Linked DNA regions of Saccharomyces cerevisiae S288C. The protein of the gene in region 1 binds, or shares a complex with, the protein of each later gene. Each region holds a gene or a part of one and is shown in the gene's direction. Other genes may lie near its edges.

What was found.
Region 2: MRPL4 (region 1) and MRPL27 share a complex: the UniProt entries of both Saccharomyces cerevisiae proteins name them as parts of the mitochondrial large ribosomal subunit.
Region 3: MRPL4 (region 1) and IMG2 share a complex: the UniProt entries of both Saccharomyces cerevisiae proteins name them as parts of the mitochondrial large ribosomal subunit.
Region 4: MRPL4 (region 1) and MRPL3 share a complex: the UniProt entries of both Saccharomyces cerevisiae proteins name them as parts of the mitochondrial large ribosomal subunit.

What each region holds. Positions count from the first base shown.
Region 1 is NC_001144.5:1,012,324-1,015,950, forward strand, and holds MRPL4 (mitochondrial 54S ribosomal protein uL29m MRPL4), read left to right. Parts: upstream 1-2,167; coding exon 2,168-3,127; downstream 3,128-3,627. Other genes in the region: CAR2 (ornithine-oxo-acid transaminase), read left to right, coding at 178-1,452; U4/U6-U5 snRNP complex subunit LSM3, read right to left, coding at 1,586-1,855; SEC39 (Sec39p), read right to left, coding at 3,245-3,627. UniProt on the Saccharomyces cerevisiae protein: Component of the mitochondrial ribosome (mitoribosome), a dedicated translation machinery responsible for the synthesis of mitochondrial genome-encoded proteins, including at least some of the essential transmembrane subunits of the mitochondrial respiratory chain.
Region 2 is NC_001134.8:766,701-769,180, forward strand, and holds MRPL27 (mitochondrial 54S ribosomal protein mL41 MRPL27), read left to right. Parts: upstream 1-1,539; coding exon 1,540-1,980; downstream 1,981-2,480. Other genes in the region: glutamine amidotransferase subunit DUG2, read right to left, coding at 1-906; SSH1 (Ssh1p), read right to left, coding at 2,243-2,480. UniProt on the Saccharomyces cerevisiae protein: Component of the mitochondrial ribosome (mitoribosome), a dedicated translation machinery responsible for the synthesis of mitochondrial genome-encoded proteins, including at least some of the essential transmembrane subunits of the mitochondrial respiratory chain.
Region 3 is NC_001135.5:239,381-242,511, reverse strand, and holds IMG2 (mitochondrial 54S ribosomal protein mL49 IMG2), read left to right. Parts: upstream 1-1,968; coding exon 1,969-2,409; downstream 2,410-3,131. Other genes in the region: RSA4 (Rsa4p), read left to right, coding at 160-1,707; peptidylprolyl isomerase family protein CPR4, read right to left, coding at 2,501-3,131. UniProt on the Saccharomyces cerevisiae protein: Component of the mitochondrial ribosome (mitoribosome), a dedicated translation machinery responsible for the synthesis of mitochondrial genome-encoded proteins, including at least some of the essential transmembrane subunits of the mitochondrial respiratory chain.
Region 4 is NC_001145.3:320,155-324,093, forward strand, and holds MRPL3 (mitochondrial 54S ribosomal protein mL44 MRPL3), read left to right. Parts: upstream 1-1,720; coding exon 1,721-2,893; downstream 2,894-3,939. Other genes in the region: MSS1 (Mss1p), read right to left, coding at 1-863; CSI1 (Csi1p), read left to right, coding at 3,146-3,939. UniProt on the Saccharomyces cerevisiae protein: Component of the mitochondrial ribosome (mitoribosome), a dedicated translation machinery responsible for the synthesis of mitochondrial genome-encoded proteins, including at least some of the essential transmembrane subunits of the mitochondrial respiratory chain.

The sequences.
Region 1 (3,627 bases):
CGCTAGCCGACGCCGTAGTCGCGTGCCCTTGCCCTTAGCGGCTGACTGGCTGACTCGATTGCATATATAAATTGCGGCCACCATACGTTGAGTCTTGTTGTTATATGGCGGTTGTTCGTATTACAGCAAAGGATACTACACCACAAGACACCACAGCAGCACAGAACCACAACACCAATGTCCGAAGCTACCCTCTCCTCCAAGCAAACCATTGAATGGGAAAACAAATACTCCGCCCACAACTACCACCCCTTGCCCGTCGTTTTTCACAAGGCTAAGGGCGCACATGTGTGGGACCCGGAGGGTAAGCTGTACCTCGACTTCCTGAGCGCTTATTCTGCCGTCAACCAGGGCCATTGCCATCCTCACATCATCAAGGCTTTGACGGAGCAAGCACAAACACTAACATTGTCCTCCAGAGCGTTCCACAACGATGTTTACGCGCAATTCGCCAAGTTCGTGACCGAATTCTTCGGGTTCGAAACCGTTTTGCCCATGAACACCGGTGCAGAAGCCGTGGAAACTGCTTTGAAGTTGGCCAGAAGATGGGGGTACATGAAGAAGAACATCCCTCAAGATAAAGCCATCATTCTGGGTGCCGAGGGTAACTTCCACGGGAGAACCTTCGGTGCTATCAGTTTGAGTACCGACTACGAGGACTCCAAGTTGCATTTCGGGCCTTTCGTGCCTAACGTTGCCAGTGGTCACTCCGTGCACAAGATCAGATACGGCCACGCAGAAGATTTCGTCCCTATCTTGGAATCTCCTGAAGGTAAGAACGTTGCCGCCATCATTCTAGAGCCAATTCAGGGTGAAGCCGGTATCGTCGTGCCCCCCGCAGACTACTTCCCAAAGGTCTCCGCATTATGCCGTAAGCACAACGTCCTATTGATCGTTGACGAAATTCAAACCGGTATCGGTAGAACCGGTGAGTTGCTTTGCTACGACCACTACAAGGCAGAGGCCAAGCCTGATATTGTTTTGTTAGGTAAGGCTCTCTCAGGTGGTGTTCTTCCCGTCTCATGTGTTCTGTCTTCTCACGACATCATGTCTTGCTTTACCCCAGGATCTCACGGTTCTACTTTCGGCGGTAATCCTTTGGCTTCCCGCGTTGCCATCGCCGCCCTCGAGGTCATCCGCGACGAGAAGCTGTGCCAAAGAGCCGCCCAACTGGGTAGCTCTTTCATCGCCCAATTGAAAGCTCTCCAAGCCAAATCTAACGGTATAATCTCTGAGGTGCGTGGTATGGGACTGCTTACCGCCATCGTAATCGACCCATCCAAGGCCAATGGTAAGACCGCTTGGGACTTGTGTCTATTGATGAAGGATCACGGCCTCTTGGCTAAGCCCACCCACGACCACATCATCAGATTGGCTCCTCCTTTGGTCATCTCCGAAGAGGACTTGCAAACCGGTGTCGAAACCATTGCCAAGTGTATCGATCTGTTATAATATTAATACGCATTTTTTTTATGTTTTCTCGTTTCTTTTCTTTTTTTTGTTTTATATCTTACACATTTTTAATATACTAAAAGTAAAATAAAAAAATACGTACTGTTTCCCTTTGTTTTCTCCTCCTCTTTGCTTATATCTCCACTGCGCCATCGTCATCTTCAGAGGGCGTGCTGATTAGAGTCACTGTGTCTCCTCTGATGAACACCATTTCACATCGTCTTTCGGACTCACTCAACTCCTCGTTGTTTAATTGGTATATGGTCTCTACTGCATCACTCAGCACGATGTTGCAGTGTGAGTCGAACGCTTGCAGTGTGCCCACCAGCGTCCTGGCCCCGCGCAGCTTGATGTACACCCTCTCATCGAGATTGAGTTTCAATAAATCCAAAGGTGTCTCCATTTTCTTGAGTGTGCGTGATGTTGTGTGTGTGTGTGTATTTATCTGCGTGTCTCTCCCCTGTTGTATTGGTTGCTAGAATGGATGGAAACATCCTGCCTCTTGTTTGTTCAAACCTCAGCTTTCTTGCTTTTTTTCTTCTTTCAATATCGCGACCTATCACACAGCACGGATAGCCAAAAGGGCGCATCAGGAAGAAGAAAAAATATCATTTCAGCAAACTAAAAGAATTGCCCTGAAAGCTATCGAGCCCTGGTAAGAGAGTACCATTCTATCTCTGCGGCTAGAAAAAAATACCATAAAAATATAATAAAAATGTGGAAGAGATCGTTCCACTCCCAAGGAGGGCCCCTGCGTGCCAGAACAAAGTTTACCAAACCAAAGCCAAAACAACCGGTGCTTCCCAAAGACAAAATAAGACCGCCCACTCAATTGACTCATCACTCCAACAACCTGAGGATTACCGAACCAATCCCACCAACAACCTCAAACCTGCGCTGTCCCGACGACCACCCGCTGTGGCAGTTCTTCTCCAACAAGAAATTCATCAGGTCCGCCGACGACTTGCCGCCTTCCAGCCATATCAGACCCTGGAGCATCCCAGAGTTGAGGCACAAGTCCTTTAACGACTTGCATTCCCTTTGGTACAACTGCCTCAGGGAGCAAAATGTGCTTGCTCGCGAAAACCATCTCTTGAAAAACATTGTTGGCTCCACGCATGACGAATTCAGTGAGCTCTCTAACTCTATCAGAACCACCATGTGGCAAATAAGACATGTACTTAACGAAAGAGAGCTGGCCTATAGCGCTTCACGCGAATTTTTACAGGATGAATCGGAGAGGAAAAAGTTCTTGGATACTTTGGCCAACGATTACTTCTTGAACAAGGATATCCCTGATGACGAAGTCGCCTCCATGCTCACACGATTCCAGTTGGCCATTTTCGGCATATCGGAAACCATCCAGGATAATACAGTCGACATTAACTTCATCGACGGGATCAAGTTCTTGGCAAACTTAAAACTACAGCGGTTCAAGGACTCCAATGACCTCATATCCGAAATATCACAAGAACCGATCACAGACGTGGGCGAGTCGTTCATCTTATTCACTTCCGACTTCGAACCTCATGCCGTTCAAGAGGCTTGTGTCGCCATCAAAGACCTGAGAAAGTCCCCAGATAATAAAGTCCCTAAATTAGACGAACTCCCCACCGTGAGAAAATACTTGAAACAGCTAATTCATGCAAGCTCCGTGGAGCAAGCAACTGCATGATTCCCGTGGGCTTCCTACCCTCTCTCCTGTAAATATATATATATATATATATCCACACACACTCGCACATACATACACACATACATACACCTTTATATAGCTATACGCTGTATGTATTCAGAAATTAGTCACGTTGTGGAAAATCTCCCTAGCAATGCCGCCTACCTTACTCTTATTGTCGTTCTGTCCGTCCAGTGCGTACTTGTCTTTCACCAGGTCACGGGCGCTTAGCTCCAATTCTAGTGTGCTCCATTGCGATGTAACAATTTCGACTTCCTCAAGGGGGCAAACCTCCAGTAAGCGGCCCAAGATGCTCATCTGCAGAACAATTATCTCTGTGGGAATTTCATTATCCACCCAATTTGGATCGACAAACTTCCCCATTTGATAAAATGTTAACCAATGCTCATCGCCCAACGCCTTCATCATATGTTGGCCCGCTTCTTGACAAATTTCAAACACTTGCTTGCCCAATTCGTATGCTGTGCCAAAATCTAAAT
Region 2 (2,480 bases), on another chromosome or scaffold:
GCAATATAAAAATGGGAACTCAATAGTTTGGGATATGACGCTATCTTCATTGTCGATTTTATCGTTTATCAAGGAGATTTTAACAGTGTTTTGCCCTTTATCTTTAGAGAACTCCCAAAGCTTGCTTATTCCATCACCAGCGGATGAAATTATGTGCTCTGCACCAGAAGTTCGTGAGCTTTTTTCCAATAACTGATTAAACCTGGGACACAATTTATTAATAGAATAAATAAACCCATAATGTGCATATTTAATAATGTTTTCGGAGGGAACCTCTATGATGGCAGCGCCACAGTTTTCTTGTAGAGAGGTCAATGAAGTTTGAGATAATGAATTTGAACTATATCCAGTCGGACCTAACGAATCAAAGAACTTATCATATCTTCTATGCGGTAATTTATTGATATTTTCTACTCCATCAGAGGATTTTTTTTCAATCTTCTGAATCAAGTTCTCAACATATAGTAAGCTTGCATTTTGACAGCCAAAGACAATAGTTTCCAACGAATCCAAATATGCCAATGAGAAAATATCACCAATATCGGTCACTGAGTAAACAGTGGCTATTTCAGTAACAGGTAGAAAGTCATCTCTAATGGTCTTTTCGCCAATGGACCAAATTCTCACCAAAGAATCTGCGCCGCCTGAAAATAAAAAGTTTTCATCTTCTGATCCTGTCAAGCACAAAACCGAAGATCTGGTATGCGTTTCCTCTTGTGATTCGCCTAGTCTAATCGTATGTATTAGATTATATGTGGGAAGATCAAAAACCAATATCTTGGAGTCTTGGCTACCAGCAAACAACAATCTTTTTTTTGGAAATGCAACAATGGATAAGATGGAAAAAGCGTGATTCCACCTATGAATTAGTTCAGAGTGCAATGCGACACCCCTGCTATCGTACATGATTTCACAATTACTTCTGCCCTCGTTTTTCACTTTTCCTTACAGGGTTGTTCGGTTTCTCGAAATAGTTTTTCACTTAAATAATTCAGTTACACACATTTTATTGATATTGGTGCCACAGCTTTTCGCGGCGCACAATGCGATTATCACTCAAGTTTATGGTAAAGTCGGTATTCCCTCTCATGAGAAAAAAAAAAAAAGATACCATCTTCATTGAACTTCTAATTGCAGCAGTAATTGTGAGCAATGCTCAAGAGCTTCCTTACCATATAACAAAACATCGAAATCAGAGGATCATTCTAGATCAAAGTGAAATGCCCTTAACTATGAAAAGGAATACGAAAATAGCTGTGAAGTGTTATTATAATTATTAACAAGGTTAGTAATCTTTAAACAGAGCCTAATACTTGCGGGAAGGACTTTCAATGTTGCTTCACTGCAGCTTGTTGGCGGCTATTTGATGATGATTTTCTTGAGATACATAATTATTATTATCACGTTTCACGGATTATTTTTGAAAAGCTAGAATTAATACAAAAGATAGGACTATTGAAGTAGTATACACCAATTTTTGCTTAAAAAAACTACGGGAATCAAAGATTACCTTGAAAGTGAGGACAGCAAATAACTAAAATGAAAGGCTCACCCATTTCTCAATTTAGTAAGACCTCTATTAATGCTCTTACCAGGCCTTGGAAGAAATACAGAGATGGTGAATTATTTTATGGGTTATCAAAAGTTGGGAATAAAAGAGTGCCGTTGACCACGAAGCAAGGTAACAAGACGATGTACAAAGGGACAAGAGCTTCAGGGATTGGTAGACATACAAAATTCGGTGGTTATGTGATAAACTGGAAGAAAGTCAGAACCTATGTTACCCCAGATATGGTTAATTTCGAATTAAAGCCCTACGTTAACGCAAATGTACCACCTCTAAAACACGAATTTAAAGGATTTAGCGGCGGCCCATTAGATCCTCGTTTACAGTTATTAAAGATAAAAGAATACATAGTAAACGGGAGGGTACAAAGCGAAGGGGCCACCGACACTTCATGTTATAAGGAGCGTGGATAAGTTATTTATAATCTTTCTTCAATATGCGTGTAAATACTAGTTTTCGACTTTATAGGTAGATAAAAAATAAAACTTAAGATTGTAAAACAAAATCAAATAAAACATGGCTTAGACATTGCACCATATGTCATCTTTCTTTGAGTTAAATATAGATACATATAAATCTAAAAGAAGAGCAAAAAGTTCGTACGTATATAAATGCGCGTAGCAGAGAGAATTTGATCTTCTTTTTTGTTTTCCTTCTTTTTTTTCTTTTCTTTGTTTACATAGCACCTGGAACACCCAAGACTTGATTCAAAGCACTTTGACCGCCACTTTGTTGGTATTCAATGGTAATGACTTCTAGCAAAGAAAACCCACCAGCAATGCCAACAACTATACCAGCAGCTTTACCTTTCAAACCCAAAGATTCACCGATAACGGTGATCAAACTTAAGACGGATGCACCCGTAACAGCTGCGATTGGAATGACTTTGTTCAATTCTTTAGCGACATTCTGT
Region 3 (3,131 bases), on another chromosome or scaffold:
TTTCATTTAGAGCTGTTACCCGAGAAACCGGTGAAAAATTTTAAAATGAAAAAAAAAAAAAAAATGCGATGAGCTTCAAAAAGAGTATCTTTAAAAGACATATATCACAAGATTTTTATATTTGTAACCTCGATAAACACACACTAACACAATATACAGATGTCCACCCTGATTCCTCCACCTTCTAAGAAACAAAAGAAAGAGGCTCAACTTCCCAGAGAAGTAGCTATTATTCCGAAAGATTTACCCAATGTTTCAATCAAGTTCCAAGCTTTAGATACTGGTGACAATGTAGGTGGCGCCCTGAGAGTTCCCGGTGCTATCTCCGAGAAACAGTTAGAAGAACTTTTAAATCAATTGAACGGTACTTCAGACGATCCAGTGCCATATACCTTCAGCTGTACAATTCAAGGTAAGAAGGCCAGTGACCCTGTGAAGACGATTGATATAACAGATAACCTATATTCTTCATTAATAAAACCAGGCTATAACAGTACAGAAGATCAGATCACGCTACTGTATACGCCAAGAGCAGTTTTCAAAGTCAAGCCGGTAACTAGAAGTTCATCAGCCATTGCAGGTCACGGTTCCACAATTTTGTGTTCTGCCTTCGCACCACATACGAGTTCTAGGATGGTAACCGGTGCAGGTGATAATACTGCAAGGATTTGGGACTGTGACACCCAAACGCCAATGCATACTCTAAAGGGTCACTACAATTGGGTTCTCTGCGTTTCCTGGTCCCCCGATGGAGAAGTAATTGCTACGGGATCCATGGACAATACCATAAGATTATGGGACCCAAAAAGCGGTCAGTGTCTAGGTGATGCTCTCAGAGGTCATTCCAAGTGGATCACTTCTTTAAGTTGGGAACCTATACATCTTGTGAAGCCGGGCTCCAAACCAAGATTAGCTTCATCTTCTAAGGATGGTACTATTAAGATTTGGGACACTGTGAGCAGAGTTTGCCAGTATACGATGAGTGGTCACACAAATTCAGTGTCTTGTGTCAAATGGGGCGGCCAAGGTCTATTGTATAGTGGCTCTCACGATAGAACCGTACGTGTATGGGACATCAATTCGCAGGGCAGATGTATCAACATTTTGAAGTCGCATGCGCACTGGGTTAATCACTTATCTTTATCTACAGATTACGCATTGCGCATTGGTGCATTCGATCATACAGGTAAGAAGCCTTCTACACCAGAAGAAGCCCAGAAAAAGGCATTGGAAAATTATGAAAAAATCTGTAAAAAGAATGGAAATTCAGAAGAAATGATGGTTACTGCAAGCGATGATTATACCATGTTTTTATGGAACCCACTAAAATCTACCAAGCCTATAGCAAGAATGACCGGTCACCAAAAATTAGTCAATCATGTGGCGTTCAGCCCTGATGGTAGGTATATTGTCTCAGCGTCTTTTGATAACTCTATCAAACTTTGGGACGGTAGAGATGGTAAGTTTATCTCCACATTTAGAGGGCATGTAGCCAGCGTATACCAGGTTGCGTGGTCATCGGACTGCCGACTACTGGTGTCATGTTCCAAAGATACCACGTTGAAAGTGTGGGATGTAAGAACTAGAAAACTTTCTGTTGACCTCCCTGGTCATAAAGACGAAGTTTATACCGTCGACTGGAGTGTCGACGGTAAAAGAGTGTGTAGTGGTGGGAAAGACAAGATGGTAAGATTGTGGACGCATTGAGTTATGTGCAAAGACAAGTAACATACATGCACATATAAATATTATATAACTGTGATATAGAACTGCATTTTTTTCTTTTTGAATATTAAATATGATGGTGTCGCAAGGTCGATCTATAATGGTCATCGCGTACGAATGGCTTGGTATGAATTTAAAATATGGTACTATAAGCAGTATAGCTCCAGCAAGAAGGAAAACCTTTTGAAAGAAGTGCCCGTTTACCTAAAGCAACTTACTCCAAGGTAGCGTGTGAGCAAAACTATGATCAGTTCGTGTGTTACTAGATGTTTTGGTAGGGGTAAATGCCTTCCAGGGCCTGCCACTGCCTCGATATACCAAACGATAAGATGTATATCCACTAATTCAAATAAAGCTGCTGAGGCGCCAATATTTCCAAAGCTGGAAGACGTGAAGATGCATGAGCTCATAGGAAACAACAATTTTGGTAAAAAGACCTACTACGTGGAGAGAAGCAGGACCGGAAATCTACCGGTGTATTCCGCTTATAAAAATGGAGGTAACAAGATTATCACGGAGATCAGAAAGATTGAAGGAGATGTAATTCAACTAAGAAATGACTTGCAGGAGCAACTGCCTTTCATACCCAAAAAATCATGGTCTGTGGTGATGCAATCGAAAAAAATTATTATCAAGGGCAATGCAGTAGAGGCTGTCAAAAGGGTATTAACCAAGAAATTTTAGGTATCGCTAATGTATAAAAAAATAATTGTCATGTATATATATTAATTAAAATCATAGCCATGTGGTCATCAAGCCATCGAAAAGAAGTTGCTTACTTGTGTCTTAATGAAACCGTATGAGGCTTTTCGTGCATGCCCTTGTAGGCAATGAAACAAAGGCCAAGAACAGTTAAACACATCAAGGCTCTGGAAATTGGGTGGTTTAAATCATAGGCGGTGGTTCCAGTGGAGGTGGTTAAAGGTGTGTAGGCTTTATCGTTACGGAAGATGTTTTCCAAAGTGGAGCCAACAGACACATCGCCATTTCTAAACTTCTCGACTTTTTCTGTGTACGCAGCGTGCAAATCTAAGATGTTACTAATTTTTAAGATTTCTAGAACGAAATACAGGAACCGTAATTCATGCTGAGGCTTTCCATATTCGTCTGTTTCTGTGTATTGAATAGCATCCATTAGTTGATCTAGACCAGAAGTTATTTGACCAAACACGACACTTTTGCCATCCAATTCCTCATTTCCATCGGCTTTAGTGGTGATGATGAATTCCGAGGTGTTAGAATCAGGTCCAAAATAGGCCATTGCGAGTCTTTCAGGCCTGTCATGTTTTAAGTAAAAGTTTTCGTCATCAAATTTGGGCCCATAGACGGTGAAAGGACCCACATCTGGGGCAACCACACCACCCTGGATATACTTGTTAGGGTAAACCTTGTTGATTTTGGTCTTA
Region 4 (3,939 bases), on another chromosome or scaffold:
GACTTACCGACATTGGGAGCACCAAGTAATACCAGCTTTATTCCATTTTGCAGTATGGTAGACTTTTCGACTTTTTGCATGAAAGTAACGATTTGGTCTCGCAGACATATGATGTTCTTTTCTACATTATGGAAAATCTCATCCGTATTCTGAATTTCTTGGCTATTATCGTCGGCAAAATCTATTATAGCAGTCAACTGTGCCATATTCTCGATAATGGTTTCCCTCCAGTTCTCAAATAGGATTTTGTTATCCCCATTGAAACTTGACAAGGCAGATCTCCTTTGAGATTCTGTTTCCGAATCAATAAGATCTTTGATACCTTCAAGTTGGGTAAGGTCAAACTTTCCATTTTGAAACGCCCTCCTGGAGAAGTCGCCAGGCAAGGCAAATCTTATATCTTTACCACTGCTTCTATCGTGTAACGAGCCGATAGCTTTCAGTATACTATTAACTACGGCTTTCCCGCCGTGAACGTGCAGCTCTAACACATCCTCACCAGTAAATGAATAAGGAGCTTGGAAATATAGCAACAACGATGTGTCTAATAATATTTTACTTTCCTTTTGATCATGAGGTTTCACACTACAAGAGGACGGCGAATAAATGTTCCTCAAAATAGCCTTCCTGATCGGCGGAACTGTACTTGAATCAACTAGTCGATTGTAAATGTACTTAGCATGGGTACCAGATATTCTTATGATTGCTATCGCAGAGGTTTGATTTGCTGGTGTAGATAATGCATATATGGTTGGTTGCTGGAAGGTATAAGGCTTTGCAAGTCCGGAGTACCTCTTTAACGACCTTCTTACGAGAAAGGATCTCGAAATAAGCCGTGATTGTAAGAAAGATGCACTATTCATAAATAGAATACTTATTAACCATATATAACATTCTCTAAGTAGATAGCAGTCGTATGGAATATTGCTGTATCTTCATGTAACCTCGTAAAAGACGTTATATATGGGTTAGTTAGCCAAAAAAATAAAAAATGGACGAGTCCGGAATCGAACCGGAGACCTCTCCCATGCTAAGGGAGCGCGCTACCGACTACGCCACACGCCCGATTTGTATTGAAGACTTTGAAGAAGTATAGAAAACATAAATGTAGGATACATTTTTAAACTTTTATTAATGAAACCAATTTGAAGACATGTGGCAACCCGTGTTACTCATATATATATATATATATATATACAACTATCAGAAGATTATCAATCTAATAGATCTTTAACGCCGCCTCAGTACTTTCTGAACTGCAAGTAGAATATTTTTTTCTGGAATCGGCACATTCACATTCAGACGTATACGATGTCAGCACTTAGATTGCTACTATAGCAACTCATTTATTATTAATCCCCATTCGTTCCGATATGGATGGCATATTATTACCTTTAAGAAAGGTGGAGTTCCAAAGATTCATCAATTTTACTGTTTATAGAAAACGTTACGGAAAGATGAAAAGTAAACACCAAGGTCTCTTATGCCTTGACATAAAGAATACGGAATAGAATGATTGTAGACGCAACAAGATGAATAATTAATGGCAAATTATTATCCTATTAGATATAAATTACAGTCGCTTTAATGCGTGATTATAGAAAAGGTCCTTACAATATGCAGCCGGGTAAAGAGTGAAGTTTCCCGCCTCTGAAAAAGAGCAATACTAAAATAATCTGAAAAGAATTGGTGAAAAGAAAGCTGTAGTTATATATACAGAATGGGCATAGTTTTGAAAAGAGCAATAGCAGCAGGTATGAAACCTTTTCCAAACAGTACGTGGCATTGGAGCCGAACCATAAGACCTTTCTCACAGCATTTGTCTAGCACATGCTTTCTGCAGCAATCCTCGAGATTTACTTCAAAACGATACCTACACCTTTCAACATTAACACAACAAGAAAAGCGCTTCCTACCCGAATCTGAACTTGCTAAATATAAGGAATACTACCAGGGTTTGAAGAGCACTGTAAATGAAATACCTGAATCAGTGGCCTCTAAGTCACCTTCGTTAAGAACGCTTCATAAGAGATTACAATTACCTAATGAGTTGACCTATTCAACACTTTCCAGATGCTTAACGTGTCCCTCTGCAAAACTACCCGACAAGATAAATAATCCTACAAAAGGTGCAGCTTTCGTTAATACTGTACCTACTAATAAATACTTGGACAACCACGGTTTAAACATCATGGGAAAGAACTTGCTCTCTTACCACGTTACAAAATCCATTATACAGAAATATCCGAGACTACCCACTGTGGTTTTGAATGCTGCGGTTAACGCATATATATCAGAGGCGGTACTGGCGCACATTGCTAAATACTGGGGTATTGAAGTAGAAACTACGTCTGTTTTATCACGCTATTTGAAAATGGAACCATTCGAATTCACTTTGGGAAGACTCAAATTCTTTAATAATTCATTGAACTCTAAGGACGGTATTGAGCTAATCACCGGAAAGAACTTTTCAGAAACAAGCGCTCTTGCAATGAGCGTGAGGAGTATAATAGCTGCCATCTGGGCAGTAACGGAGCAAAAAGATTCTCAAGCTGTTTACAGATTTATTGATGATCATATAATGAGCAGGAAATTGGATATCACGAAAATGTTCCAGTTTGAACAACCTACAAGAGAATTGGCTATGCTATGTCGTAGAGAGGGGCTGGAGAAACCTGTATCGAAACTGGTCGCTGAGTCTGGTAGACTATCGAAATCACCTGTCTTTATTGTGCATGTATTTTCAGGCGAAGAGACATTAGGTGAAGGTTATGGTTCCTCATTAAAGGAGGCAAAAGCAAGAGCCGCTACTGATGCTTTGATGAAATGGTATTGCTACGAGCCTCTTGCTCAACAGGAACCAGTTATTGATCCTGGCACTGTTGTTGTTTAGTTCTGTGTTTGCCATTTTGTAGATAGAGAACTCCTTAACCAGAATACATTCTTGTACATATATATATACACGTTGGTACGATATGCGTTTACTTTATGTGTACTAAAATATATAAAAGTGAACAGAAGCATGTTCCTTGTTTACTACTATATCTTACCAGGAAACAGACAAAAAAAAAAAAGACTTGCTATATTTAAAGAGAACGCACATTTGTGAGGGGATAATAACACAAAGCAAAGTAATATAGGGTAAATGGACCTCCTAAAATTCAGTTCTCTAGCTATATCAGAAATTAACTTCCTGCACGAGTCATCGTTTGACTCGATAGACCACTCTTGGTTTTTATTGATAGGTTGCAAATTGGATCAAGATGATGAAATTTACATCCCAATAAATGGTAATGAAGCAGAGTCTCAATGGTATATTGAAAAAGTTATACGAATCCCGATGCAGGAAAATGATAAAATAAATCAAGAACGCCTAGAAAGGAGAATTAACCTAACAAAAGTGACTCAAAAGGACATTTGTATACTGGGTATTCTTGATTTATGTCAGTTAGAAGAGGACGAAAATATCACTAATAAAGTGACGGAGAAAGTGCTCACCCAATTGACCGCCTTGGCATTGAAATATCTGATAAAATATAACGTGTTTCGCCAACATACCTCCTTCCAAGAAGCTGTCAATAGTTTAAAGGGTTATAAAATTGAAAATAGTGTACAGATAGGCGCGGAAATTATCCTTGATTTTCTACAAGATAAAGTGCAAATTAAGGATGTAAATGACAGATACCAAATTCCCACACCTAATAATACCGTAGACCCAGGTTTTGATGAGTTTCAATTAATTGACATGAAGGATAAAGAAATCAATATTCAAAAATATAATAATAATACCATAAGAAAATTACTCGAGAAGATTAATCGAATGATAATATTCTTGAAAAATTATGATGCCACTGACAAGCCTTTCTCTTCCACGCAAGATGTAATACTTCGAAAAATATCAATGCTTGTAACACAACTGCAAAGAGGTGGAACAAGTGA